Linked DNA regions of Alligator mississippiensis. The protein of the gene in region 1 binds, or shares a complex with, the protein of each later gene. Links are inferred from orthologs where the notes say so. Each region holds a gene or a part of one and is shown in the gene's direction. Other genes may lie near its edges. The genes, in order: PER2 and CRY2.

What was found.
Region 2: the proteins of PER2 (region 1) and CRY2 are in contact, whole or in part, in a crystal structure (PDB 4U8H), measured with the Mus musculus proteins. The link is inferred for Alligator mississippiensis from reciprocal best matches to the Homo sapiens genes PER2 and CRY2. Residues at the interface, in NP_035196.2 of Mus musculus: Tyr1132, Leu1134, Gln1135, Asp1136, Pro1137, Trp1139, Leu1140, Met1142, Ala1143, Asn1144, Thr1145, Ile1149, Met1150, Met1151, Thr1152, Tyr1153, Gln1154, Leu1155, Arg1158, Asp1159, Leu1160, Val1163, Leu1164, Asp1167, Gln1168, Lys1170, Leu1171, Leu1174, Gln1175, Ser1177; in NP_034093.1 of Mus musculus: Trp58, Ser63, Ser64, Val65, Lys163, Leu166, Thr167, Lys169, Arg170, Glu215, Leu216, Gly217, Phe218, Asn330, Pro331, Ile332, Cys333, Ile334, Gln335, Ile336, Pro337, Asp339, Asn341, Pro342, Glu343, Leu345, Ala346, Lys347, Ala349, Glu350.

Annotation. Positions count from the first base shown.
Region 1 is NC_081830.1:44,724,724-44,740,147, reverse strand, and holds the start of PER2 (period circadian protein homolog 2), read left to right. Parts: upstream 1-8,850; 5' UTR 8,851-8,923; intron 8,924-15,424. UniProt on the Homo sapiens protein: Transcriptional repressor which forms a core component of the circadian clock.
Region 2 is NC_081825.1:226,430,707-226,446,188, forward strand, and holds the start of CRY2 (cryptochrome-2), read left to right. Parts: upstream 1-8,169; 5' UTR 8,170-8,204; coding exon 8,205-8,407; intron 8,408-13,411; coding exon 13,412-13,520; intron 13,521-15,482. Other genes in the region: SLC35C1 (GDP-fucose transporter 1), read left to right, coding at 244-793, 3,728-4,287. UniProt on the Homo sapiens protein: Transcriptional repressor which forms a core component of the circadian clock.

The DNA of each region.
Region 1 (15,424 bases):
CATTTCTCCTCATTGAATTGAATTCTGTTGTTTTCTGCCCATTTGTCCAACCTGTCCAAGTCTGCTTGTAGTTGTTCCCTGCCCTCCGGCATGTCTACTGCTCCCCACAGTTTTGTGTCATCCGCAAACTTGGACAGAGTACACTTCACTCCCTCGTCCAAGTCACTGATGAAGACATTGAAGAGTATCGGTCCTAGGACCGAGCCCTGCGGGACTCCACTGCCCACACCCTTCCAGGTTGATACCGACCCATCTACTATGACTCTCTGGGTGTGACCCTCCAGCCAATTCGCCACCCACCGGACTGTGTAGTCATCCAAGTCACAGCCTCTTAACTTGTTCACCAGTATGGTGTGGGATACCATATCGAAGGCCTTCCTGAAGTCTAAGTATATGATGTCAACCCCTACTCCTGCGTCCAGGCGTTTTGTGACCTGGTCATAAAAAGAGACTAGATTAGTCAGGCATGATCTACCTGCTACGAACCCGTGCTGGTTTCCCCTCAGCCTTGATAATTTTTTCAAAGACTTTGCCTAGGATGGAGGTGAGACTGACTGGCCTATAGTTGCCTGGGTCCTCCTTCCTCCCCTTCTTGAAAATGGGGACCACATTGGCCTTTTTCCAGTCCTCCGGGACCTGGCCCATGCGCCACGAGCATTCAAATATTCCCACCAGTGGCTGTGCAATGACGTCAGCCAGGGCCTTCAGTACCCTCGGATGGAGCTCATCTGGGCCTGCTGACTTAAAGGCATCCAGTTCCTCCAAGTGACTCTGCACCATCTCAGGGTTTATGCATGGATGGAGGTGGACTTTCCTCTGGGGCCATAGGACACAAGACTAGGAGCAGGACTAAGCCTCAAACTGCATCAGAAGAAATTTAGATTGGAGATTAGGAAGAACTTTCTGACTATGAGGATGATTAGGCATTGGAGCAGAGAGACCATGGAATCTCAATCCCTGGAAATTTTCATGACCAGATTGGAGACGCTTGCCTGGAATGGTTTAGTCAGGGTCAGTCCTGCTTTGAACAGAGGTCTGGACTGTGAGGTCTCTTCCAGGCCTGCTTTCCTGTAATCCCGTGTCACAAGGTTCCACACAATATTAGCATTGCTAGGCGTACAAACACAATTCACAAGATGAACCCATAGATTTCAAATAGGAACCCAGTTTTAAAAACATTCTGATCTGTTGTGATCTTTCTGCATTTTTTGCAACAGAATTACTCTATTATTTTTCTGCACTCAAAAAAGATTGAAAACTTAGGAGCAGGCGTTTTTCAATGGATGCCTCAAATCCAAAATGAATGAGAACCCATGGTTTAATTGTTTTATTTTGATAATGTGGATTCACTTTTTGTCACTTACATGGTATGGTAAATGCATATCACATAAGGTTATAAATTCACCAAAATAAAAAAAAAGTTTATTATCAAAGGAAATTTAACGTTTACGTTATCAAAGGACATTTCTGATTTTCCCATCTAACATTTTGTTGAGGTGACCATATTCCTGCAAAATGTTTCAGTTTTAATTGAACTATATCTTCTGATGAAAATCTACTTTCACTTATTACCATGTTTGAACTTACACCCATCCTGCAAATGCTGAAGAACATACAGAATTTTTTACTTACAAATAGTCTCATTGAGGTCCATGTGACTATTCATGTGAGTAAAATTACATGTGTGTATAAATAAGGGTTTGTAATTACATGATCTTCAACATTAGGATTTAGATCCTTTATTCAAAGACTGATCTTCAAAATCCCTCCTAGCCGCCTATGTCTGATATATATATATTAGTGCCTACATTTTCAATATTCAAGTTTCCTAGGTATCTGAAATGTTGCTTCTGAGGTTGCTCAGATCCCCTGGCTTTTTAGCATGGTTGAGTAGCTTGGCACCTATCTCCACACTGATGCCCAGTCAGGATCCTCAGGCTAAATCCCCATAGATGCCCAATCTGGTAGGCAGACAAGGTTCTTTGGGTAAATCTGATATCTTGGGTATACTCAGAGCACATTTAAGGCACATTGACAATGAGCTCCACACACAGCAGCTCTAGCCCCTTTCATTCAAAAATTCAGCCAATAAAGTAAGAGGGGGAAAATGCATAAATAGTGCTTTGAGCAGAGGCAGGAACCCAGGCCTTATGTGTTCCAGATGAGTGTACCAATCACTAGTCTATAGAGCAGGGGTGGGCAATTATTTGGGCCCAGGGGCCACAATGGGAGTTTTGACAAATTGTCGCAGGCCAGGTCGGCACTTCCCGCCCACTGCAACAACTCACCAAAACTCCCTGTGTGGGATGGGGCCATGGGTGGAGAACAGTGTTCAGGAGCAAGACAGGCAGGGGAGGCTGGGATCCCAGGGTGGGATTGTGGGGCAGGTGGGGGGCTGCCTGGGCACACACATGTGTACACATGTGTGGGTGGGGATCTGTCTGGGCACTAGGTCCTGGGAGTAGGCCAGGTGAGGAGAGGAAGGAGGGGGTCTTGGCCCCATGTGGAGTGTCACAGGGCAGCCGCGGGCTGGATCAATTGGTGGGCACCCCCTATAGGCCCCCTCTAATCAGTTGGTGGGCCAGATCTGGCCCACAGGCCATATTTTGCCCACCCCTGCTACAGAATTATGCTCTCACTCCCTCATCCAATGCATTGTAAATTCTGTTTTGCAAGGTGGCTGTGCTTAAATGGGCAACATACAGAGTTCTTCCCCTCCCCATCCTGCCCCATGATAGGTTAGGGCACTCCCCTGGAATGTGACAGATTTGGAATGGACAGCCTCATGGTGAGGGGGGCATTGAATCTATGTGGCACCAGCTGCTCTGCCATATAAAGGACTAGAGAACCCCTCCTGTGTTTTTGAAAAGGATGGAGGAAGTTTCAGGCTGGCAATCCCAGTCTGACAGATGTGCCTGCCTGCAGTCCAGAGTTAGATGTCTAAGCCCCCCTACAACAAGGGCTAAATTTAAGACTTACTTCCCCTTCCATCATTTTCTATGAGCTACCTTTGTCAGCATCTGCTCAGCATGTTGTCTGTTGTGAAGTCTATTCTAAGATACCTGACTTCCTCCATGAATGTATAAGGGGTTTAAATGTCTTGCTCAGCAGTGGATTCTACTGCAGAGACCAGGAGCCTAAGAGTTAATTTTTGCTCTCTCGCCCTGATTTTCCAAACCCTTAAGCACATGTATAACTTTACATCATGTCCATTGTTTTCAGTATGGTGCCGCTCAGACAAAGTGATCTGACAATGCACAATTAAGTTTGCAAGGTCTCAGGGCCTTTGGTGCAATACCCTGCTACTAGATCAGTTGAAGGGGTACTGTATATTATAGGAACTGGGGTCCTGTTACTACAGTAGTAAGGTCCACCCATATAATTCTAATATTCTATGTATCTTTCTAATATTCTTCAAACAGAAGAGTTCAAGTTTCTTCTGGTTTATTCTTTTTTCTTACATACTGTAGTTGTCAACAAATAAAATTAAGAATTTAAAACAGTGAGTACAGAGAGGGGAAAACTACACTTCCCAGAGTCCTCTAAGAAACCAAACACCAGTTCTGCATCTTCAAAAAGCAGTTGGTTGTGTTGGAGCACTTCTTAAGAGACGGCTGCTTGAGTTGGAGCTCTTTAGCACTTCAGGTATGCTTAATGTATGAAGGAAGTATCTCTAAATGTGAATGACTAATTAGTTTGATAGTTTTTCTACCCTAATATGGGGTCAAAATACCTGACAGACTTTCACTGATAGGGAGAAAGCCTTCCCTTCATTTCTCTTTATGGGACTGGTAATCTTGATGTATTTTGCTCATTAGCAAAAAGGCCGTTTTGGATCTCTGAACCTTATCAGCAGTCAATGAATATTGAGAGTAACCACAAATTTGAGAGAAAGGAGTGAGAAGAGAGTAGGTGAAGTAATTAGGCAGCTTTAGAAAATAAAGAATGAGATGACTCCATCTGAAAAATATGGAAACAATATGGAAAAATATGGATTTCTTTAATCTTTTCAGTTAAAAAATTCCAAGCTCAAGAACAGTGTTTCTTTTCAATCAGTGCTGTCATAAAATTAATTACATGGAAAGTACTGAAAGTAACAAAATAGATGAGAAGACAGTTACTTGAAAGAAATAAGCCTATTTGTCTTCACTAGCTAATCGAGCTGATACAAAAAAGCCCTTAGTAATTCTGCAAAAAGCTTAAGCATTTCAAACTTGACTTCATTCCAAAGTGCTTGAAACTGCTGATTTCCACTGGTTCTAAAATGTTCACAGTATTTACAATATGTTGACATGTATCAAAAACAAAACTGAGTTGGGTTTTCTGATAAACTAATTTGGGCACCCCAATGTTAAAATATAGACAAAGCAAGATTTTCTTATGACAAAGTTTTGATAGCGTTGAAAGGTTTTTCAAATAATGTCTGTTTCTGAAACAGGCTGTTTTTCAGAATACAAAATTTGCATTTGAAGGGGGAAAAAAGACCAGTTGTACTATCTAATCTTTTTGATGCCAAAAAAAGGGTTCTGCACTGAAAAAAAACTGCCAGGGAGAGAGTTGTTACACAGCTTTCTGGATATTGCCAAAGCTATGCAACTTTAGTTATGCTGTTTCTGCTGTTAAAGGGATATAGCATGAGGATGGTAAAATAGATAAGATCTTAGGCCCTGAGCCTGCAGTAAATTGTAGTGATATGGACTACTACTCTCAGAGTAAGGTCATTTGACTCCAATGAAGTCCTGCTTAGGCAGAGAAGTCTGCCTCACATGACCTTGGGGGCCTCCAGTAGAACTGAAAGTTGGACATAGTAAAGGATTATGCCAACTCTCACAAAAGAAAAACTGTTTGTGGGTGGTGTCAGCGTGTGATTTCATAACGTTACATGGTGTGATGGAATACTTTGAGATGAACAAATGCTAGAGTCACACTGTAGATGAAAGATCCTCTGTGAAGGACACTGAGATCTGACACATTATAAATTGGCTTCAACCTGAAAGCGATGTAACTTTGTTTTTAAGACTTTCATGGAAATGTTGACTCACTGACAGTGTCCACATGTAGTATTGTTCTTTTAGAGATTTATTAAAATGTTTAAGGAATACCCTAGCTCTGAAACAGAGTAGACGAAGGTGGGAAATAAAATTGCCTGTCACTTAGTAAGGTTCTTCAAAACTTTGTTTTAATGTAAAATGTTGATTCTGTTCGCACACATTCTTAATTTTACTTGTATGAGTTGCAAAACATAAGATGTATGTGAAAGTGTTAGGAAGATCAAGGCTTTAGACATTACAACAAAACTATTTTGTCCTGCTTTATTTAGCAACCATTTTGTTTGACTGTGTTTCTAGTAAGAAAGGAGCCAATGTGGTTGTTTCTGTGCCTGTGCACTAGAATTGGTGATGATATCAGCAGGGAATGTGTGCTGCTATAGAAATAATGGACCTGATTGATCATTATTATATATCAGTGTATCAGGAGTAACTTCCTGTATTGATATGAGTGGTTGAAACCCTTAGAAAACTAAAGTGGGAAGAGACTCTACCCCAAACTTAGTACACTCTGCAGCAAAGCAAGAGGAGACTCATATGTCATATTTTAAAGTAGTAAATGACTTTTTTCAGTTTACTTTTAAATAATTCGGCGACAAAAGGCAGTGCATAAAGGGAAAGGGAGGAGTTTAAAACTGGACAGTATTCCTCAGATGTTTATAGCCGAAGTCAAAATAATTGAGTGGCATCCCTTTAAAATTAGTATGATCTAGTGATGCTTTTAGATGTCTGGAAAGCTATTATTAACAAGCTTGCTCCATGCAAGAAATATCCCTCTACTTCCCCAAAAAGTTGACTGCTTTAAAGTAACCTTAAGTCTGAGGATTTAAGTTCACACAGACCAAGACATTTAGAAGTTAAAGTTCCCACAACACGTTAACATAGGCATGCTCTCCGGAACTTTTAGTTAATATTTGCTTATCTACCTGAGAACAAACCAAAAATTAGATCTGCATAGGTATACCTCTGCATCCACACAAACCTAGATGAAGAAATTGTGCTTCCCACTGTCCTTTGGAATTAAATCCATTACAGAATGTTACTTATATCATAGAAAATGCCTACTTATTACTGAAATATCAGAGCACCTAATGCACAATAATGAATTTAGCTTTAATACCCTCATGAGGTGGGGAAGTAGTATTAACCTCATGTTACAGACAGAGATTGAAAGTACTGGTTGATTTTTTTTTTCTGTTGCTGCCCAACTAATGCAGCCATTCCACCTGTGAAAGTGAGCGTAAAGACTGCTGTCATACCAGATTGCTCCACTCTTGCAGGTGATAGTCTTAGACACCTGCTCACTTCTCTTTTCACAGATGTAAATATTTACACAATGTGCCTTTCAGCTCTAAACTTCTATGAATCTGTGGGAGTAGGCCCTGTGTATGTCATTCATCCTCTGAGCCACTCTGAACTCCAGCCAACCTCCAAAGATGATGGGGACCAAGAGGGCAGGCAGCACCTCTGTTGGGCTCCTACGTGATTGTAAGTCTCATGTTCTCCATCTGCAACAGCTAAGGAGATGGAAGGGATGGTGTGTTCTACCTGCTAAGGGGAATTAAATGAGCAGCCCATTTAAATGCAGGTAACTTGAAGTAATACATGAGCAAAGCCTTGAATGCTGGACACTTCACAATCTGTATTTAAGACACAATTTATTTTGACAAGGTGTAAACTGAACAGCAGATGAGCCACATGCTGACTGGGGGGTGTAACAGGGAACCCTAGCCCTGTCACCCGAAGACAGGTCTGCTCCTTTAAGGCCTGAACTTTCTGGGTGTGGAGTACTGGTGAGGAATGGGGTTAAAGGCCGAACCTGTCCAGCTAGTCAGCTGACCAGAAGGGGCAGGCCAGGACTATAACCCTGGGCAGAGTGGCAGTGAAGGCCAGCAGCCAAGGGGGAAGGAGAGCATCTCAGAGCTCCAGGAAGAGGCTTGGTGGGCAGTCCAAAGCCAGGAAGAGGGGAACTATGGAAGCCCCAGAGAAATGACAGCCGCACCGCAGCAAGGACTGGAGCTGATGGTGGGGAGCTGAAACACGAACCCTGCAAATGCAAGCTGACATACCGCTTTCCTTACTCACATTTGTGGGTGGCAGATATTGCCCAGGGATGGGACTGTTTATTTTTCTTTTGGTTATCAAATAACACCAGTGGTTTGGGCGAGGCTATTAGGGGAAGGAGGAGGCCTCCTTTTTGGGGCCCACTATGGAGCGGAGACCCTGGTGCCAGTGAGGACGTGGTTTTTGGGGGTACATAGACCCCGGTGCTAGTGGGGGTGTAGGATTTTAGGGTGCACTGACCCTGGCACCTGAAAACATGATCTTAAAAAGACTGGGGAGTTCTGGTGCACCTAGGGTGCAATTTTATTTATTTTTTTGTTGGACTGGGAGAGTGCAAGTTTGGGGCTGTCCCCTGGCCTTGAGCTTGTGCCCCCTTGGTTGTGGGGCTGGTGGCTGGGCCTCTGGGACAGTGGGGCCAGCCTCTAGATTGGAGCAGGAAAGGGGGTCACAAGCCACAAGACACTGGAAAAGGCTAGAGCCTTGGAGTCAAACCCTGTGTGGTGGGTTTAGACGGGGAGGCCTAGCTAGAGAAAGACAAGGGTCAGGCCCATGTAGACAAAAGGCCCCAACATACAAAAAAGTATGACAGGCAGTCTCCCGCTCGCAAGAACATCATCATCATAATTTTCTATCGAGACGTGGCAGGCGAGAAGAGGGCGGGACATAAGAACTTCAAGGAAGACTCCAAGGGTGCCCCACGTAAGGTGCGGATTACCAGAGAAGATGGCCCTGGGGAGGGCGACCTGTTACAGGGGGAACCCTGCTCTTCCGCAAGAGGGCTGCATTTTGTAACTTTGCAGACAGGAGCACTTCTAGTCTCAGTGTGTGGACCCAGTAGGGCACGGTTCGTTGAGGAGATAGGATATTATTAAACCAATGGAGTAGCTGGAATAAAGTTCTTAACAAGCTTTGGGGCACAGCCCAGGGTCTACCTCACTGAGTCTAACTGTGAATAGTTGGCAGGGTGCGGCAGAGTCACGAGCTTGCCTGTTTCTCCCGCAAACTCTTGATCCTGCACCTGACCGACCCCAGCCTGGCAGGCAAGCTGCTTGAGCCCCTGCCGACAAACTCGGGTGACGGCGGGAGCAATGGCCGTGGCCCAAGGGCCCGGAGCCCCCTCCTGCTGCCGGCAAACGAGTGTGTGTCCGCAGCTCCGGAGCAGTTGCTGCTGCTGTTGCTTCACCCGCCGCGCTGCCCTTGGGCTGGAGGGAGCCTGGCCCCGGGCGGCGGGGCGGGGGCGGGCGAGCGAGCTCCTCTGCCTCATGTCCCTGAGGGGCCGGAGCCCGGCCAGGCCCGGCTGCCCCGCACCGCACCGCACCTGCATCCGCGGGACCGCGTCGGCGCCGGGCCAGTGCCCGGGTCACCAAGCAACGGAGGGGCAGAGAGGCGGGGCCGCCCGAGACGTCAGTAACAGCAGGGGGGGGGCCTATCGGGGCCACCAAGGCCGTGACGTAATCCCTGCCCCCCAGCCGCGCTCTGCTCTGCCCCCCACCTCCGCAAGCAGGTCCCCGCGCGGGTGAGCTGAGCTGAGCCGGGCCGGGCCGGGCCGGGCCGGGCGGAAAAGGAAGGTGCGATGGAGGGGACGCTCCGGCGCTGACCCCGCTCCTGGAAACATGGTGTCGCACGTGAGGCTTATGTAAAATGAAGGACACTCCCCGCAGCCAATGGGGGCGGGGGGCGGCCCAGCCCCGCCCCTTCCGCATGCAGATGAGGCGTCGGCAGAGCCAATAGGCGACGTGGGGGCGGGTTCTGTGGCCGCGGTCACGTTTCTGACTGTATGAAGTGGGATCTGTGGCGAGCGGCGAGGGCTGGTGAGTGCGCGCGGGGGCTCCCGGAGCCGGGCCGGGCCGGAGCGGGGCCTGCCTGGGGGCGCGGGGTCGGGGTGCGACAGGGCCCACGCGGCCGCTGCTGGGGGTCCGCGCCCTAGAGGCGGCGCGGGGCTGCGGAGGGCTCGGCCGCGGGGGCGGGGCTGAGTGGCCGCGTCCTTCCCGGCCTGGAGATGCTCTGTCCCCCGCGGGCGGCCGCTCCCGCTGCTGCGCTTTCTAACCAGCCTGTCCGCGTGTGCGAGCGCCGGGCGCAGTCGGGTGGGTCCTGCCGCCCGCCGTCGCCTCGGGGAAGGAAGCGGCTCAGACAGATGGTGCCGCCGGGTGCGGGCAGAGGGCGGCAGCAGCTCTGCCGAGACGCTGGCTTAGCAGGATGTCAAAGGAAATTTGCGTTGTTAAGTTCCCGAGGGCTCGGGCTGCCCCGTGTGTTTTTGTCTCTAAAACGCGTAACTCCGAGCTCTGCGGTCACACGCGTGTGAGCGCTTCCCCGGGCGCCGCCTGGCACTCGGGTTAGTCCGGGCCTCGCCGTGCGGCACTGCTGCATGCACCGCCTGGCCCGAGCTTGAGCAGGAGACGAATGCTGCTTAAAAGCCCAGGGCACTGCCAGTGCTGGCCTGTTTGCCATCCTGAAACCAGCCCCTCACTTTCAACTGGTTGAATTGCTTGACAGCTGTTTTCCATTCACTGTGCTTATAGGGAGTGCATTTACAATAATGGTTAGGATGTGACTGCATGACAGCAGAGGTTCTCAACTTTTTTTTATTATTATTCCTGAGGCAGCCCTCTTGGTTTTCATGAACTTATAGGTTGCAGAGGGAAAAGTAGAGCGATTCTCCTGTTGTAAAGAGCTGAGACTACAGTAGGTCGGATTGTTTTGGGCGTTACAGATTCCTATTTTAAATCTGGGTTTATTTTCTGATTCATACAGAGGTGTTTGCACACCTAAGAGTGCTAATATTGTGTGACACCCTTCAAAGGATCTCACAGCAGCCTGGTCAAGAATCATTGAGCGAAGTGGTGGTTTTGTAAACCTAAGTGAAGCCAGAAGCCTGGCCTTAAAACATTATGCTTCTAGTCTGAGGAATGGGAATTTGCCCTGTTAACACAAAGCAGATTTCAAAGTTGTTCCTGTCTGTGAAGCCAGAGACTTTGAAGTGAGGGGACATCTATGTGCACAGAAGACTTGGCCTTTATCACTTATTTGTATTATGAGTGTTCCCCTGCATCCCATGAGGACCCACTCATTATTCCAGTTACTGTACAAACAACATAGGAAGCATAGGTGACGTGTAAAGGGGGTATGGGGGGCATGTGCCCCTCCCCTGAGATTGGCCACCTTCGGCTTCTGTGTGGTCACTGCTCGTCACCCCTTCCCTCGCCAGCATCTGTGAGTGGTCCCCGCTTACCACCTCCCACCCCCCTTGCTGCCAACACTGCTATTGGCACCTGCAGGTGGTCCCTGCTTGCTGCTGTGGTGCCCTTCCCCCCCCTCCCCCCCCAGTCTCAGGAGGCACCAGTTGTTTATGATAGGAAGTACCTTGAAAAGCAGAGGGTCTAAGTCAGGGGTGGGAAAAATACTGCCCATGGACTATATCTAGTCTGCCAAGGGAATTTGTTCTGCCTGCAATGGGTCCTTCTGTCCTGCCTGTCCCAGGGGCAGGGGGCAGCCCAAGCTGTAGTGCACGTGGCCTATACTGCTGCCCCCAGGTGCGCAGCAGGGCTGGGGTGGTGTGGTGGCCTGACATGCTTCCTGGCTGTCACTGCCCTGGACCTGGACCTGGGCACCCCAGCCCGTCCACCCCACACTCACCATTGCGGGTGGGACCTGTGCGGGCAGGGCAAATGGCTGGGCAGATGGGATGGGGCTGTGGACAAGCAGGAGGCAGAGCTGGGATCACAGGGCAGGATCATGAGGTAGTAACAGTGAGGGCCTGGGGTCAGGGGTAGAGCCGTAATCTGGCCACATCTCTGATGGGTCTTTGTCCGTTCCCTTGTGCAGCAGTGTTTTACTAGGGTACTTTCTCCAGATCTGAGGGTTTGAGAAAGGAGAGGGTGGATTGGCCAGGGGATGAGACTTAACATAGATAAGGCCAACGTTTGATTTCCACACCCTTCTCTAGAGCCACAGCCTGTCTACCAGAGGTTGATAGTGCAGATGCCATCTTGTGTAGGTATTTACACACTATACAGTGCTGATTCTGTTTGGTACCTTTAAAAGGAGCCTCCTGCTACCATTGTTGAGAACCAGGGAGTTACAGAGTAGACAATGACTGAAGGATTCTGTGTACAGAAGCCATTTATATAGTTAACAGATATGCAGATTAATTTGATGTAAGCTGTAGGTAACAAAGTTGGACTGGCATTGTTTAATGCAGTTTAGTGAATTATGCATTTATCTGCCATGCATACCAGTGTGTTGCATTTTTTTTATTTATTATTTTTCACTCAGTAATCTAATGACCAGGGTGTTTCATACTTAAATAAACAAAAAAGACCTCTTGCCTCCTTTCTACCACAAAGGTCCTTCTTTTTAAAAAATAAGGCTTTGTTTTTGTTTACTGTGGTTTCAAATAACACACAATGCTATTATTACTGAAATAGTGTGGAAGGGGGCATTGTCTGTGTGCGTTTGATCATTTAATAAACTCATTTTTGCTATTCTTCATCTACTTCATGTAGACCTCATAAAATAGAAAGAGAAGGAACCTGTAAGGGCTTCCAGAACGGAACTTGTTGAAAGGACTTGAGTGGCATCTTAGGCTGTTTGTTTGTTTTTATTACACTTATAAATTGACTAGATTTCAGTTGTCAGTGTGTCTTGAACCACCGAGTATGTTTGCAGGTGACATTACTCAAAGCAATAAATAGCTCTGCGTCTGCTTCTAAAGGATGTTGAGGACAAATCCTCAAGGACACTATGATAATTTTGACAGTGAGGCCATAAGTGTGTGTTGAAATGCAAGTAAGTTAAAATTTGGATGTGGAGCTTTGCCAGACCAGAACTTGTTGTGACAGGTTCAGTCATACCAGCAAAGACTTGCTTTACTTGGATCCTGATTCTTTATTAGTAGAGTTAAGAAAGTATTGAGTGTAGGCCTCAATAGGGTATAAAAATCAAGTCTTTAAAAAGCCAGGAGTTAAAACATAAACTAAGTTATTTGTCAGTTAATGTGTTAACCTCTTCAAAAATAATAGTGAAATATGTTATTAAAATTGTGTCTGCATGTGCAAGAAGTACTAGGAATTAATGTCTGCCTTCCCTTGAATTAAACTTTAAAATTAACTTTTCACGGAAACTGTTATACAAGTGAAGGTGACCAAAATTGTTGTTGTTAAAACTCTGCCAATTTCTTAAGTGTAAATAAGAAAGCAGAGGCTTGTGTCTCCCAGCAGAGGTCGTTTTATTGCTAGATCCCATTTGGGTGTTTTGGGTGCTACTAAAATGAGTGACAGTCTGAGTTTTGATTAGAAACTTAATCTCATCATAGTGATGATTTCCTCTGAATAGAATTATATTTCATTTGTTTAATGTCTTAGCTAAAAACTGGTAAATAAGTGTGGATATATCCTGAATGTGACCTGGCTTTTTCTCTGATTTCTTATCTGATGACCAGAAAGTCTAAATTGCATAGTCTAGGTTGATACAGTATTTAAAAGAAACTAGTTACTTTCTATGTTTTCATTTTGTTTTGTTTAAATGCACTTTTAGAAGTCTAAAAAGAGCTTTTCAGTAACACAAAGCACCTTTTTTCCGGTCAGTCATTTGTTTAATTCACAGTACCTTTACACTACTGTCTCAAGAGCTGTTCTAATAGGCCCATGTTAAAAGGGAACAGCGTGATCATTTGAAACTGTTGTGTGCTTGTGCCAAATATTATACTATAGAAAAGTTCCTATTTCCAGAACTGCCTGGTTACCTAGTAATTATAATGCATAGTAACATAACAATTCAGATGTTATAAAAAACTTGTCCTTCAGATTTTGATTCAATGAAGTAAATCCATAGAGGGTTATTTTGGGTTTTGTTGTTGGGTTTTTTTTGGGGGGGCAGGGGTTACCATGTTGCAATTTTAGATTCTGCATGCAGAGTATACACAAGAAGCACTGTTGGTTCTGAAAAGTAGCTTGAACATTTTAGAAGCTGAATTGTGTTATTAGATGTACTATCTGATCTCATCTGTGTGTGAGGGAGAATTGTCTACCTGTGCTGGACTTTGTATTACAGTTTTATTTTTTGTTACACTGTATTCAAGGTAGCAAAGGAAATTTGACATGGGAGAATATGATGATGTTACATTTTTTTTGTTTGATTTAATGTTTAAGGGTCCAGAACTTTTTCACCGCCATTACAATATCCATTTCAAACTCATTTTTGTTCATAATGAAGTCCCTTGATTTATTAAATTGGAGATGCCCTATGTGCAGCCTTGGCTGCAGATCAAATATGTCATTCAGTGGTAGGGAAGGTGTGGCTTCCCTGGGAAACAGACTGTTCTCTTGTCTTCTTCTTCAGCTTCAGGCAGGCAATTTTTTTTTCCTAGCTGTAGGAAAAAAATACAGGGGACAGAAAAAGATGGTCTCCAGGCTGTCTGGGATTCTCCTCCTCATAGTTACTCTTTGTGCCCTAACTGGGAAATAATTGGATACTTCAAGTCTCCTTTGACTTGCTGCTGATTAAGTACCTGCCTGAAGATATTCCTCTGCTGCGAAGAGCCAAGGCCAAACAAATGTGTGTGTTAGGACATGGTTTCTTGTAGCCCCCTTTTTATGAGTAGTATCAACATCTCATCAGGGCCATGTCCTCAGTTTGACAGTAGAGCCCTGCTTTTTGTGCGCGTCTAATCCAGAGGATTAAATGATCATTGAGTTTCTTTCCAGTCCTGTGGTTCTGTAGATGTACCCAAGCTATTAAACTGCCTGATTGGGGAGCTGAGATCAGTCCGATGTAGTCTAGTTGTGGCAGCACAGAGTTTACCATGGGCTAGTTTACTTTTTCTCCAGGAGGTTTTGCAGTGCTGAGTGAGCTCTATGCTGCTATAGCTGGACTGAAGTAATGCCAGGACTATACCTTGGTAAGGGAGTTTTGTCTCTTAATGATACATCTGTCCATCTCTTACCTGAACTGCAAGTTCGTATAGTCTTTTTTTTTTTTCCTATGGGATCACAAGCCAAGGAAACAAATGGCTTGCCTTGTTGCAAAGATGACCAAAGATATTTTGTTATAGACCTTTAATTTCCGCATCAAAATGTTATAAAAATTTGCATACAGGTAGCACCGGTAATTCTGGTTGGAAAACCTTGCTTCTCCAATTTTATTGAGTACAAAGACTTCCCATCTGCTTTTCATCCAAAAGGGAGGTGATATTACAAGTGTCATTCATGCCTCAGAATCCAGATAATCTGTGTAGTTTCCTGGCTATTAAACCCCTGAAACCAAAGGGAAGGTGCAGAAACTATAATGTCCATAATTTTTTGTCTTCCAAGAAGAAGCTTAGCAGCTCAACTTCAACCTGGCCCCTGAATGTGCTGTCAGTTGATACTAGGAAAAGGGTTTCATTATTGTATCTGCATGAGTACCACAGATTTTTGAAATTCTTAGAGATGGACTTGATTGATGCCTGGCAGTTCAAGCATTTGGAGATCAAGGGTATTTGACAAAGCAGCAGCTTGGTTCAGCAGGCAGGTAGTAGATTTCATCTTTTCAGGTGTCCAGAATTTTGAAAGTTACTTCTGTTGTCATTGTGTTTTGGGAGGACTTGGTTCTTCTCTGAGATTTTACCTTGCTTCCAGTGTCATTAGGGCTCCTCTGTTGGAACAAGTCATGACGTTACTTTCTAAGCATTACAAATAAAGCCTTTTTGATAGCAACCAGTTCTTAGGTTATCGTAGATGGGAGATCTTTTTCCTGAAGCCACAATACTGCACCTTCTTAAAATGTAAAGTGGTGCTCGGAACTAACGATGCCTTAATAATAAAGGTTAACTCCAGGATTTAAGGGCTGTTGGAAACTGCCGTTCTGGTCAGGTTTGTGATGTCCCAAAGGGAAACTTAAAGCTGTGGAGACATCAATCATGTATCTTTAGGGTGCATGTTCACTGCACAACTTTAATTCAGAAACTCAAATGTGCTTTTCTGCTGTTATCCCATGTCCAAGGAAAAGAAGCCTTACATTACCTTGACCACCTGGAAGCTTCTAGTTGTAGAATACAAGTACCAATATCAGAGCTCACTTCCTTGGAGCTGTTGTTACTTCATGGGAAGAAAAATAGTGCATTTCATATTATAAGGATATACATAAAGCAGCCATAATTACTGATACCATCCCTAGATTCTACAGGCTGAACAGTGAGGCATCTGATGCTGCCTTTGGTCTATGGGTGCTTCTCATTACAGTAACTCAGTAAATGTTAGAGGAACGTTTTTTGTTCTTTTATTTTTTATCCCATTTCACAACTATGTATAGTTGTATATGCTTTTCAAGCGGGTACT
Region 2 (15,482 bases), on another chromosome or scaffold:
CATAAATGGGCCGGCGGCGGGCGGGGCCGCAGCAGGAAGCTGTGCTGTTCCGGGAGGCGGCGGCGGCGGCGGCGGCAGCAGCAGCAGCAGCAGGAGCAGCAGCAGCAGCAGCAGCAGGGACAGGTAAGCGGGGCTGTGGGGGGATCAGGCCGCGGCCCTTTTAAGCCGTGCCCCAGCAGGCTGCGGGGCGCGGGAGGGGGAGGAGGGGCTGGCGGGGTCGGGCTGCGGGCTGACGGCTGGACCATGAACAGGGCGCAGCTGAAGCGCGCGGGCATCCTGCGCATGGCGCTGAGCGGCGCCGCCGACCCGCTGCTGCCGGCCGAGGAGGATGGCAGCAGCCGCCGGGAGCCGCCCTTCGCGCTCCGCGCCGCGCGCATCGCGCTGGTGGTCTGCCTCTACTGGGCCATCTCCATCACCATGGTGTTCCTCAACAAGTACCTGCTGGACAGCCCCACGCTGCGCCTGGACGCGCCGCTCTTCGTCACCTTCTCCCAGTGCGCCGTCACCACCCTGCTGTGCAAGGGGTTCAGCCTGCTGGCTGTCTGCGGCCCCCCGGGCACGCTGGACTTCCCCTCGCTGCGCCTGGACCTCAAGGTGTCACGCAGCGTGCTGCCCCTGTCCCTCGTCTTCATCGGCATGATCACCTTCAACAACCTGTGCCTCAAGCACGTCGGTGTGGCCTTCTACAACGTGGGCCGCTCGCTCACCACCGTCTTCAACGTCCTGCTCTCCTACCTGCTCCTCAAGCAGACCACCTCCCTCTACGCCCTGCTGACCTGCGGGGTCATCATAGGTGAGTAGGGCCCAGTGGTTAGGGGGCCTGTGGTTGAGGGGTTGAGCGAGTCTCCCTCCATGTCCGTTCTGCAGAGCAATACCCAGCGCATGTTATGTAGAGCTCTGTAAAGCTGCATCACTTTATACAGCTCTGCCTGCCCCCATGAGCTCTCCCTGCCCCATGAGACAGGATGATCCTTTTCACGTTTCTGCAAAGGGAGGTGTCCGTGAGCCAGATTTGTCCGAAGTCGGACAGTTCATTGGTGACAGAGCTGACCTAAGCTGACCTCAGGACGTGGAGCCCCAAGTGCCTGACATCTAGTGCCATGTGCTCACAGCCTGCAACTCAGTTGTCTTGCCTAGCATAGGGGGATGAATGGGATTGTCATTCTAGCCACCAAAATACCCCTGGCCCTCACCACCGCATTATCCAAGTGCCTCATTCATTATTAAATATATTCCCCATGGGACAGAAAATACCACATCTCCATTTTATAGATGGGAAACTAAGGCATGAAGACTGGTGATGGAGCAGGAAATTGAATCCAGATGCACTGGCTTAAACGCAAGACTATTTTTCCTTTTTGTTCTTTCCATCTGTATAAAAAACTCTTATGTTACTGTAACTTCTGGCCTTTCTTCCTTGCTCTGTCACAGACACACAGCCTAACCTTGGGCAAGTTGCTGCACATCTCTGCCATGTGTGGATAGGATTCATCTTTCATAAACTGTAGAACTGCACTGGCTGCCTTGCCCAACTAGTCTTCACCGAATTTAAGTGCTAAATAATTGCAACCTACTCTTGTGACTGAAGATGAATCTGTTAATATTTTTACACGCACTTCCTCATCCTCCTATTTTAAATTGTTATATGAGTGCTTTTTTCCACTCCTGTTCTGTTACTAATTTGGGCAGCACTAAAAAACTTTGGCTAGTACCATATGGAGTAAGGACCCAGCCAGTATGAGTTTCCTGTATAGGAGAAAGTGTAAGATAAACAGAGTAGGAATAGATGTCAAATGATTGTAGTGATGTAAGGAATTTAAAGGAAGGCTGTGGAACTGGCTGACTGGGACATACTGGGGAGCTGAGTGCAGACCTCTAGGCCCTAAGCACAGATAAGAAGGTCATTGCCATTTGAGGACAAATAGGAGGCCTGAGGTAAGTTAGTTGGTCTCAGGTATTCACTTAATCTCTACAGAGGCAGGCCAAGTGTTGTGCGAGACTTCTTCTATCCCTGGTGGTTGAGATGATGGAGCAGACCTATCTGTCTCAGAAAGATGTTTAGCCATTTTGACATTTGAATAATGGGAACAGCCAGCTCCAGCTGATTCCAGGTTTGGGTGGCGGACAGTGCTATAGGATGTACCTTTTGCCAAGTGTAGTTTACTTGATGGATTACTCTGAGCCTTTTCCCTTGGGTTTTACTCTTGCCACGTGGATCCTGCCCTAGCACATAGCAAGACAGGTTGCTTCCCGGTCCTTCTGCCATCCATATGCAAAATGTTTACGTACATTGAACCAAACTTGTATGGTTAGTTGGGGGTGTGAGATAAAGTACATGTGCTTTGAACTATTCTCTTACGCCACCATTCTGCAGTAGGGAAAAGGTGCAGGTATGTGTGCTCACACAGGTAGTCATCCAAAGTCATTGCACAATTCTTTGCCCGCCCTACGTAGCTATTTGCTTGCTTTCATACACGTGCACGTGAGCCAAGACACAAGTGCATCTTGTAATGTAGACATGCCCTGGAATGCATATCAAAGCAAAAGGAGCCTCACCTTTCTGTTTCTGTTCAACCTCAAGCCCAGTCCAGTATGAAAGAACTAGACTCCCCCTCCTGTCTTCAGATATGGAGACTTTAAAAATGTAAATGTGCTACAAGCAAGTAGTTGCAGGTTCTTTCATCCTTTACTTCCTTATCAAAGCTGGAGTTCAAGCTTTCATTTTTTCCTCAGCAGCTGATGACCTCTTACACATTCCTTTCCTTCCTGCCTATGTGGGGAATTGTCAGTCAGTGTTGCTAAGGTGAAATGAAGCCCATAGCTCAGGTCCCAAGAGAAACACAAAGGACATAGTTACTTTCCAGGTAACTGGATGCAAAGAAGGCTTCACACTCAGCTTCTGCTTTAGAATCTTTGGACTTTTGCTCAAAGGTCTTAGTTTTTGTGACATGCATACACTCTGCCCCGACCACTTTCTCCCTGTTAAAAAATGCAGCAGAGGCTGTATGGGTCATGGAGTCTGAATTTCTCTCCAGGGCAGGTACTAGTGAGGTTTACTGTACCACTGAATCTAATGTTATGTCTATATTTAACTTTTTTTTTTTTTTTTTTTTTTTTTCAAAGATGCCTTGAAAGGACAAACTAGGGTACTTATCTCTTTTCCTCCTTGTATTTATGCTGGAGAAAGGAAGCCTAGCAAGCTCCTTGGAGCACATGTCGTCTTTAGTTTTGTGGGCTTTTTGGTTGGGGTTTTTTGTCACTTTTGGCAGCCTGAGAAACTTGGTCCCTTTCTAGCCTGAACCTGGAGAATGGTGAGATATCAATATCCCTAGAACAAAGATAGTGAAAGTTGAGCAACTGAGCTGGTTTCTTTTCTGTTTCTTTTCAAGCCGAACTATAACTTTGGGTAATACCTCTCTTATTACAGTGATGGATTAAACACTTGGAAAGCTATACATCTCAAACAAAATCAGACAGAACGCTTCTGACTCCTCTTCTTAGGGTTCAAACACGATGAGGGGTACCACTCTGACACTGCCTTTGTGCTCTGGGTTGCTTTTTGTCTTCATAAGATGGGCAATCCACAAACATTGTTTGTTTATTTTCATTTTTTATATAATCCTTTGTCAGTTGGTTTATAAATGCGATTTTTGTATGTAGCATTTTGGTCTTTTTGTCACTTTCTGGTCCCCCTGTCAGTATGTCACCAATTTTGTCTGCTTTGCAGGTGGCTTCTGGCTGGGTATAGACCAGGAAGGAGCAGAAGGCACCTTGTCATGGACCGGCATAGCCTTTGGGATCCTGGCAAGTCTTTGCGTTTCCCTCAATGCCATCTATACCAAGAAAGTTCTGCCTGCTGTGGATAGCAGCATCTGGCGTCTGACCTTCTACAACAATGTGAATGCGTGTGTCCTATTCTTGCCCCTTATGTTGTTGTTTGGTGAGTTTCATACCCTCTACCACTTTGATAAGCTGGGAGACCCCAGCTTCTGGGGTATGATGACCCTCGGTGGAGTGTTTGGTTTTGCCATCGGGTATGTGACGGGACTCCAGATAAAGTTCACCAGCCCACTCACCCATAATGTCTCTGGAACAGCTAAAGCCTGTGCCCAGACAGTTTTGGCTGTTGCCTACTATGAGGAGACCAAAAGCTTCCTGTGGTGGACAAGCAACATGATGGTTCTGGGGGGATCCTTTGCATATACATGGGTAAAAGGGCTGGAGATGAGGAAGGTACAGGAAGAATTGTCTCCAAAACCAGGTGAGAAAAGTGAGACCGGTGTCTAGCACCTCTGCTGCTGTGTCTGTGGAATGGAGCTTTGCTGGAAAAGGAGCCAAGAGCAGAAACTTCCAGGGCAGAAAATCACGAACTTATAAAATGCATGAGGCGTTTGTCTCAGGAGTTAAAGCCAAAGGCCTACCATATATAATGGTTTCTGCAACGAGGGATGGAAGGATGCTATTTCCAGAGGAGTTCATCCTGTTTCTTGAACTGGAAAGGGGGTGTAGGAGACAAAGGGCTTCTCTGTGTTGGTGCCTTTTTTAAACAGCTGTTACCATTGGTAACTTACCAATTGTGCACCATATGGAAACCCTTACTGTGAGGAAGGGGGAAACAGCATTTTTGCTGTGTAGCTGGGAATAGATATTGGCAGCCAACTACATGGTCTTGAATACAATGATATCCTGCACCTAAATATAAGGGAGGGGAACATAGCAGTCTGGGCAGCCTGGCTTCTACACAAATGTTCCCCCTATTATAAATGGAAATAGCTGTTCTTCCCATTCCGGTCCTTTTACAAGTCACAGGTGGAAAATCCCTTCACTACAAGTTCTGAGTGAATCTAGCAGAAGGACACACCTCTGAATTTCTTGTCTAAACAGCCAGTAACTCTTCTGGTTGAGATTTCTCAATATAGTTTGCTACCTCTTTTCTGCATCCACAGGATATGTGTGTCCCAAGAAATCATTACAAAGGAGGGACCAAATCTTAGTCTCCTTTCTTGAGACTGGCAGCTTTCCTTGTGTAGGTGGGAAGGATGCTGGCTTTTTTCACATGAGGTTACTGGATATTTGCGACTCTGTCTTTTGGAGTAACTAGGTCTCTGTCCTTGTGGGTTTCTGAAGTATTTTCCTTTCTGTGGTGAGGATCCAAAAATAGCCAGTTGGGGAAAATCAGACTTTTATAATTTTCTCTTCCAATACAGGAAATAAATAATGCTTTCATTAATTAGGCCAGTTTCAGGCTGGATTATTGCTTGCCTGCTATGGCTGCCTTCCTGGGGACCTTTCCTAGAAGATTCACTACAGAACTGATGCTTAGGCATGGAAAATGCCATAATTCCAGTTCAGTGACAGCACGTGGGGATAAAAGGTAAATGTTTTACCAAGAAATCCCAGGCCCTATCAGAAGGGTGAACAGAGCTGGTGCAGAACTTTATACTCTAGCAGTCTCTGCAGTGTCAGACTTGTGCAGGAACCTTTCCCTCTCCTGTCCCATCAAGTGCCATCTGAGGCTGTATTATACAGTCACTTTTCTCTCCTCATTCCTCCAGGTGTTGACCTTCATTCCCTACTGTTCTAGCTTTATCTAAACCCTGAGTCCTCTCACATCCAAAGATTATTTTAAGTGGGGTGTGCTGGGAGCTGGTATAACCTATTCTCAGTATCCTCTGAGTGATCTTAAATAGCACCAGATTGCTGCTATGAAAGCAATCTGACTTTTTTTTTTTACCTTTGTCCTTGCTAGCTAGGTTTTTCCTAAATTTCAGGAAACCAAGGTCACTGGAATTCTAAATTCAATTTGCCTTGTTAATGATGGTCTCCCTCCCCGTTTTTATTTCCTTTGGTAAAGGGTGGAATTTTTCCCATGGTTTGAGTTTTCTACTGGGATAGATTTTAGAGTTGCAAACATTGACCTGTGATTGTAAAACATATTAAATAAAATTATGGATTGGTATCTTGAGGGTGGTTTCTTCTACAGTGTTGTCAAAGGTTCAAGGGAACAGTGGGCACAGCAGTGCTCCTAGTGCAAAGGAGATTGCAAATTCTACTTCAGTTCAACAACAAATCAACCCAGATGATGGTGATATAAAACATTTTTAAAATGGTGCCCACGTGAGGGGAGAACATTGACTTTCCAAGCCCATTTCTAAAATGATTCAGTTAATGGTACCGTTTGTGGGTTTTCACAGGGTCTGGCTGAGAAGTGAAGGAGGCATTAGTCCTGTATTACATAATGGATAAATACTGATTCTGCCTGGATTTCAGTCAACATATTCTCCAATAGGATGCCGCCAATAGGGGAGGAATGTGAAGAACAGGTTCTAGTGAGTTTAATTTTCCAAGGAAAGTGTGATTGTAGTCTGTGTCCTGTAAAACAAGACCTGCTCTTGTTCACCCCTTGTGGTGCTGCTTCAGGGTATGGCTGTGGGTGCCCCTTTTCCCACTTTGTTGACAGGCAGTCACTTTGCTAAGGACTTCATCTGTTGGTAGGTGATATAGTCCTATATCAGTGGTGCACAAACTTTTGGCCAGCAGGCCAGATGAGCAGTGTGGAACTGGTCCATAACCAGATCAGCCCCCATGCAGCCTGTATGCCAGGATTGAGCCCTGGGGCACCATACTGCCCCTGCAACCAGGACAAGGCTCTAGGGCCCTGCATCACCCCCACCTGCCAGAATCAGGCCCAGTGCCATGCCTGCTTGTCCCCATGTGCCAGGATTGGGCCCTATATTACCCCTAACTAGCTGGGATTGGGCCCTGGAGTCCCCACCCCACACAGTGGGATCAGGTCCCATGCTGCCCTGCTCCCCTGATACAGCATGCAGGGCTATGCTATCTAGCCCACAGGGCTCCTAATGGATCCAGAAATTGACAGCAAGGAGCAGTGTCACCATTCTCCTGCTGCCAAATTTTCAGAACTGGAGAGCCCTGCAGGACAGATGACATGACCGGGGGGGGGCTGAATCTGGCCTGCGGGCCTGGGTTTGAGCACCACTGTCCTACACCAATAGAATCTGGAAGCCCAGGTGTGGCCCATGTGGGATGTCACCCCTCCCCATCACTCCCATGTGCATGCACAGTAAGGCTGCTGCAGTGTCCTGTGGAGCCAACTGGATGGAGAGAAACATGCTAGTGGCTTACAATCTCAGGCTGCCCCAGCAGAGGGGCTGTTGTGGAGAAATACCCTGTCCCCTTTAGGGATGAGAATCTCCACGGCCAATTTCTTCCCCTTCGTGCCCTCCATGCCACCCTGCTGAACACCTCCCACCTGCAATGGCAGGGGCTGGCTGCCTCTTGCTGGAGGAGATACAGCCCTGACCACACCAGTTCCCCTGGGAATAGGGAGGTGAGCTGAGGACAGGATGTCTCAGCCAGGTTTGCCCCTCTGGCTTCAGCTGGGGCTGTGTCCAACGGCAGCGGCCTCCCGAGGCTCACACCAGCCATTGCTAATAAAGGAGGCAGGGAATGGAGGGAAAATTAGACACACATTTATTATGAGGGGGAGGCAAGTCTGTGAGGGGAGATCTTGGACCCAGTGTATGTTATTAGCAGTAGCAATCATCATCATCATTATTGATATTATTATTAATACTGCTGTTATGTATTTATTATTACCTGCTATTCATTAGTGTTGTTGTTATGGACCTAGGGTCACCATCACAGAGGACATTCCAGTTTTCTGCTACTCTGTCCTCTATTGATATGAAACCCAATGCCTTTATGTAGAAAAATAGGGGACAAAAAGGCGTCGGGTTTCGTATGGACAGAGGACAACCGGCCTGTCCTTTTTGATGGCCACCCCATAAGAGCCCTTTGTCAGGCCTGGCCTGTCACGTAGGACCGGGGAGAGAGAGACACCACTACTGAGCGGGCCCACCTTTAAGGAGCGAGGCCGCTTTAAGGAGCTGGGGAGGGGGCGGAGCGGTTGCTGATTGGCAGCAGCGCCGCCCGATGAGGCCCAGGAAGCCTGTTTCCCTCCGCTACCTCCGCCCCTCCCACTGTACAGCTTCGTCAGCGCGCGCACCACCCCCACCCCTCCGCAAGCCCCGCCCCACGCACGCGGCAGGAATGTGCCACGTTAGTCCCGCCCCGCCCCGCGCCACGCTCGGCAGCCAATGAGCGGGCGGGGCGGGGCGGGGCAGGGCCTGGCGCCGGCGCGGTGGCCTGGCGGGCTGGGCAGACGGCAGCAGGCTGTAGCCATGGCGGCGTCGCGCTCGTTTCCGTCCTCGGTCCCGGCCCGTGCCGGCCCGTGCCGCGCCGTGCACTGGTTCCGCCGTGGGCTGCGGATGCACGACAACCCCGCGTTGCAGGCGGCGCTGCGGGACGCCGCTTCCGTGCGCTGTATCTACATCCTGGACCCCTGGTTTGCCGCCTCCTCCGCCGTGGGCATCAACCGCTGGCGGTGAGCGGCCGTTGGCGGTTGGCCGGGGGGGGGGGGTCTCGCGTCGACCTGTCTGCGGGCCGGCAGTGGCGCGGGACTACCGGCGCCAGCAGCGCATGCGCGCACTCCCGCCCACGCCGCCGCTCTCGGCGCGGGGGGGGGGGGGGGGTCGTGTCCTGACGGCGGGGGCGTACTCTGTCCTGACTGCTCGTGTCCTGACGGCGGGGGTGCACGCTGTCCCCAGCTGAGACCGGGCTTAGCAGCGCGACCCCGGTGCGCAGGTCGTGCACGTGCCTTTTATCGCAGCCTGGTTGTTGGGGGTGGGGTTGGCCCCCCGGGAGGTGAGAGAGGAGAGCCCCGCCTCTGGCAGGCAGCTGCTGAGCTTGTAGCGTGTGGCGCAGATCCCTTCTCGCAGGCCAGTGCCTCGCCCGCTCTGCGCACTGCGCCACAGGCCCCTTGCGGCGCGTGGAAGGTTTTGTTTGGATGTTAGAAACTGCTTTCTCATGAGGAGGGTGGTGAAGCACTGGGACAGGTTACCCAGAGAGGCGGTGGGATCTTCGTCCTTGGGGGCTTTTAAGACCCGGTTGGACAGTACCTTGGGAGGGATGATCTATTTGGAGATGGTCCTGCTTCGAGCAGGGGCTGGGCCAGATAACTTACTGAGGGCCCTTCCGGGTGAGGGCTCTCCAGAGCAGGAGTTTCCACCCCTGCTGGATTCATAACAAATGCTGCCCCCAGTTGATTGAGCTGGAAATGAGTACGGGATCATTTGGGCAGGAAGGGCCTTATGTGTTATCGGTGACAGCAGCTGGGTTGCCTTAATCACACACGGCTACTGCAGCGGTCTCTGACAGACCTTTGATCTTTTTGTGACCTTAAAGGAAACTAAGCTGTTAGCCACTTGCTGTCTTTTGATTAGTCAGGAGATTGCCTTTAGGAATAGAACCGGGTAAGTTGTCTGTCTCTTATTTCACTGAAATGAAATGTTGATATTGTGCCCAGTACTGAACAACATAAACTGGAGACCAGCCATCTCCTAAAAAGCGTTGGGGTCTGAAAGGCCTGAACAAAGTGGGATGGGCTGGAAAGCCTGGCAGAGGGAGTAAATGTCTGGCATAGCTTTTGGAAGTCATTGCTATGTAATGCCAGCACTGCACCTCTTTTAATTAGTAGCTCCTTGTTCCACTGGGCTAGAAGCGCTGCAGTCCAGAGCTGGCTTTGACCCAGCATATGGGATCATAGGTGTTTGCAGTGGGGAAAGCCCTGTTAAATCACATCTACTTAATCATGAGGGGCCAGTACAGGATGTTCTAAACCCTAATCTGAGAGATGTCTTGGCTGCCCTCAGACATCGTTTGGCTATGTTAAAAGGCAGCAGGAATAGGACAGGCTTTGACCTGGATAAGCAAAGTCCTACAATATTGCCCAACTCAGTAGGGTGTGGTGTAAATATATCCTTCCTGAGTTAGTTTGTATTTCCATTGGGAGTGATACTTTTTAACATACAGTTTAAGGATATGTTGCTGTGGGTAATTTCTTTTCCTTCCCCAAATCTCCCTGAGTGTTGGAACTTCTGAAGTGTCTTGATTTGTTTGTATGGAATTGGCTTCCCAGACGCTCCAAAACTGTCTGTTCAGTAAGAACCTTGCATTCGACCTCTGAGCTCCCTGGATCCTCAGTCCTTGGATTTTTACTTGGCTCCGTTCAAAATTAATCCCATTCTGCACACCAGCCCAAGTGTAGCCTTTCACATCTCATTTCTGACATGTGGGAAGCTACCTTGGACTCTAGGTAATGTTATCGGATTTTCTTAATCTGGTAGAGTATGGGATAGGTGTAGCTAGTATATGGTTACTTTGGAAAACATTTCTTCTCCAGCTGCTTTGCGTAAGTTCTTGCAGCCTCAAGAGTGGCATGCCAGCACTGAACAACACCCTGCCTTTGCCCTAGGGCTGTTGTGTGCGTATACATGTATGCACTCTTGCTTCTTCCCGCCCCCAAGATTCTTATGGAAATATATTTTGACTGCTTCTGGGAGGATAGGGGTGGAGGTGGAAAGAGCTCTGTTTGCTTTCATTCCCCAGCTGCAGTAGTGATGGAATGTAGTGGATCTGTAAAGCCTTGCTGAGAGCAGGAATCTGCATCCCAGTGGGCAGCTCTGGTTGTATTATCTGAGCATTACGTAATGCTGATGCACCACAGTCATGGCTGCCAGCAGAGTGGAACGGCCAGTGCAGGTAGGGATTCTCCTTCACAAGGCTGCTGTATCCTCAGGCAGGGCTTCCTCTCCAAGGCAAGGGCAGGCATAACCTGATTTCTGTTTTCCCACCCTGCCCATGGATCAGTTGCAGGTTTCAGTAACACCTTCAGGTACATAAAAAATCATGTATATGAGTGTGCAGGAGATTGTTGAATGGGTTTATTGTAATTGCCATCAGTTACCCATGCTGTACATCATCACTTAGTCCTTTAAGGGAGACAACTACCACTAAGTACTGACTTCTGAAAATTAATTTTAAAAATATTTTATATCACAACTCTAAGTTTACACATGTGCTAGAATCACAAGACATGCAGAAATTCAGCTGCTCACAGTTTTGTGTAGAATCTGTTCTTTAACAGTCCTGGAGATTGAAGTTATCTATTAAAAAATAGGTGCAGTATTAATAGCAGAAGGGCAATCTTACTCTTTTACACATGTTGCTGTACTAGGAACTCACTTCTGGGGTAGAGGGACCACAGCTTCATTTGTCCCTCTGCTCTAGGAGGGACCACAGCTTTGTTGGTTAATCTCTGACCTAGTCATTCCTTGGTTTTCCCATTGACACAAGAGGGAGCAACTGTGTTAATTTTATTGTCTGCATTGCAGTTGTGCCAAGAAGAACCCCTCTGGTTCCTGTAGAGATCATCAGAATGTATGCACCCTCACTGTCATTGAAATCAATAGAAGTTAGGTGCCTGAGTGATTTAGATGGTTATTTGTTAGGAGTTGAACAAACTGCTGTGACCCATTTCACATGGGCCAATGAGCAGTCTCAATAGGATTATTGTTTCTAGCTGAGACAGTTTGCCAGCCAGACTCCTTTAACTAGTTATGAGAAAACACTTTGAGACAGATAGGAATTTTTAGGAGTCCACAGTTCTCCCTACAGTTACAGCTCCACAGTTAGCATCTGAAATAAATGCAGTAGACTGTTCAGTAGAAAGGTGCTATGTAAATACATGCTTATTAATCGGAGCTCAGCTTTTTTCTGTGTAGGAATGCTAGCTTGTATTTTGCTCAGTTTTCTGCTACTTGCTTTTACTGACTCTTTGTATTACGACTTGGGTATAGTGACCTGGTTTCCAAAGGCAATGTATTAATCCATGTTTTACCTTTCTCCCTGAAACTGGGAACTATTTATTTTGCCAGTATGTGTGCTATGCTGTCAGCAGTAGCATTTGTGTTAATCATCAGAATGTCCTGGTGAGGTAGGGAGTCAGTATTTCCATTTTATAGGAGGGGGGAGTAAGCTGCTCAGAGTAGCACAGCAAGAAAACAGCAGAACTGGTAGTGGACCCCAAGACCTCCCATCCTTGAGGCCACTGCCACTTCTTTCCTCACAAGAAATGCATAGACAGGTTCCCTGCCCAATTTAAAGTATGGGCTCAATGGACAAACAAGTATTTCACTGACACTAAGCGGAAAAGGGGAGGGATAAGGAAGCTCCTGGTCTGAGACAGAATTGTAGGTTAGCTTTGCTGCTGCTTGTAACTAGCCCCAACCTAAATTAATTGAGGTTTCTTAAAATGCAGACTCATGTTTTGTGGATAAGACTGCAGAAGTGGGCTTTCGGGTATAATTTGACTGAAAGTGAGGAGAGGTTTAGCTTAAGGAAGGGGTTCCAAGTTGACAGGAGGCTCCACAGTCGCCTTATAGAGGTGAAAGTTTTGTTAAAGCTGGAATCATTGGCAGCATTAAACAAAGCAAAAATAAGCCAGGTCGTTAATGTAGACTGGAGTTTGGTTTGTAAGGCCTTGAAAGGAAGCAGAAGCAGCTTGAACTTCATACAAAGCACAATGAGAAGCAGAGAAATATGCGAAGCAGGCCGATGTCTCAGTGCTTAATGAGAGACGACTTTGGCACCAGTCTTTTTTTCTTTTTTTTTTTTTTTGGAGGGGAAGGGGCAGTTTTCTAGTGGGAGAGAAAGCCAAGTTAGTATCACATGAAATGAGAGACTGTGTAGATAAAAAATTTGGTTGTCAGTGTCACAGTGGAATACAAATCATATCATTTTTGCAAACATGCACTGTACTGATAGTGTTTCCCTTAGAAAGTTTGCACACTTCAGAGACCTTTCGCCACCTCCTAACAGGGAGGAATATTTCTGTCTACTTTTCCACTATAATATAGCATGTACCTATCAAGAACCATAAAAATGGGCATTTTTGGTGGCAAGAATTCTTATGAGTGATATCTTTTATTGGACCAACTGCGTAGGCAAGCTTTTAGGTATCACATTGCCCTTCTGCAGGCCATTCTTGGAGAAATTCATGACTTTCCAGAAATATTCCCTTAAAACTAGGGATGGGGGAGTGAGAATTTATCCATTTCATATTTAAAATCTCTCAGTGCTCCAGGATTATCATCTGTGGTAAATTCCACCAGCTGGTCTGCTCTGTAAACTCCTGTACATAGACAGTGCCACATCTATGGAGCTCCAGCTTGAAGGAGGCAGTAACTGCCAGATGGTTGCTCTTGCATTGTCAGTAGTCATTTGAAGTTGAAGGGATTGCAAGAGTGTGAAGGTGCTGAAAAAGTTTATTTGTCTATGCAGTGATAGGGAATTAACTGGCATTCTGGTGTCCTTGTTCTGTCTATTTGATGTTGGGATGAGTTAAACTCTAGGTAGTCATACTTCCTGGCTTAACCTTTAGCCTGGAAGGAGTTATTGCTTATAATGTTGCTGGAGTTGGGGGAGAACCTGCCATGCATATCTGTAGTCTTATGAACTGTCATCAGTCTGTCTTGTTTCTCCTCCACAGGTTTCTACTCCAGTCCCTGGAAGACTTGGACAACAGTTTAAGAAAACTCAATTCTCGCTTGTTTGTGGTACGGGGTCAACCAACAGATGTCTTTCCAAGACTCTTTAAAGTAAGTCTAAATATGCCATCTGTACCTTGGTCAGTAAGTCCTATTGTATTTCACTTCTTCTAGTCGCTGATGGTCCAGTCAGATCTAGAAGGTCTGTGTTCAAGAGAGCTAACTGGCAGGATGACCCTTTGTGAGGATTTAGTAATGTCAGCCAGTTCTACAGTCAAAACTCATGTAGCTTGGGAGAGGTGACAAATTATCTTTCATGATGACAGCCTCTGCCTCCCTATTGCTGCCACACATCTGTCAGCTGGCACTGCAGATTGTTGTCTTGTGTAAGGAGAAGTTCCTCCAAGCTTAAACTGTTTTCACCAGCTGCTTCTAAGCAGGAGAGCTACCAGGCCTATGCCCATTACAGACAAGCAGAAAATAGTCTTTGAGCCACATGTCAAGGGACAAATAAGGGTTTGTGTTTTGACTTGTCTAAGCCTATTGTACATTTCTAGCATATTCTGTATGAGCAGATCACCTCTTTTTGCTTTGATACAAAGACTGGATACTTTCCCATAGGCCACTGGCTAATAGTTGCATATCCTTGGGAGAGGTGTCGGGCTGAAGTATTATCCAGGGATGTGAAATGTGCATTACTTTCCACACTTGCTGTCTGATTAGCAGGATGAGTTTCTAAAGAAGCAATTTGTACTATAGTAGATGGCAATCTACTTGAATAGTAGGATGTCCAGGACAGTGAAAAATTGGTAAATTAGGAGGACTTGTACCATTTTAAGATTCTGTTCTTTGAAGCTGTTCTGAAAAGCCAGCTGTCCTTTTATTGAACTTAATCCCAAGAGTGTATGTGCCTAGAGGAGGAGAATGTCATAGCTTCTTGACTTGGATGTATCATACTGATGGCAGTAATAGCAAATTAATTGCACTCCATCCTGAAAGCCTGGTGTAGAAGCCTTTTTTCAGCAGGAAGCGCAGGGATACAGATGAGTCTGAATACTTTGAGAGGTCTCAGTGAGTAGTTACGATTTGCAATTTCTTTTAAGCAAAAGAGGTGAGGGGAATCTTCTTCCCTGGGTCAGGAAGGCTGCTGTGTGTTTTAACGCACTGTTTTTGCATGGCTGATGTCCAGGCAGCTCCTATGTGGGGGACAAGGAAGGACTAAGAAAGGGCTTTAAGGACATCCTAAAAGTACACTTGATCGAGTGTGTTCTGGATAACTCTTGAGCGCTAAGCAGCAATAAAGTGGAAGGAAAGTATATACCTTAAGTGGTGTGCCCTTGAGCAGGAAGTGTGTACAAAGTGAAGGATGTCAGTATCAGCAATGTGGGTCGCCAGTTGAGTGATGGTGTGAATTTTGTGACAAAAGGGTACGCCTTGTGTTTTGTGTATCTTGGGTACGCCTGCACAGGCATCTGCACACCCACTGCACTTGACTCGACTGTCCCTGCTGTGGCACTGTCATTTTCCAGTATCAGGACTTACCACTGTGATGGTGACATTTAGCTATGGCACAAATAGTCTGTGTGCTGCTTTTAGCCTTTTCTGAATCCAGGTTATTTTTTCTGTTGAACTGCAAACAAGTTCTAGCTATTTCCAGTCCATGTCCTCTTAGTTTGAGGACTAAATATAATTGCAGGATTTTTACAAATCAGTAGAAGAAATATAATCATACTCAGAGGACATAAAGATGCTAGAAGAATCCCAGATTCAGAGAGATCACAAGATACAGATTACTTGATCAATGGGAAGTCATTTTGAAGTGTCCTTTACTGCTGTCCCTTGTGCTCAGGTAGTTGTCATTATCAAAAACTTAGATACAAAATACAAGATACAACTGTGGCTTCCACACTTATTTTTCTAAACCATGGTTGTGTTCTTATGCTGCCCCCAGCAACTTACTGAGAATGACCTGCATGCTTTCAGGAGATATTCTTTTACTTTCTCTAGAATTCTCTTCAGATATTCAGATGGAGCTTGAAGAGGGCCAATAAGCAGGGTTTAGGAAGATGGTTA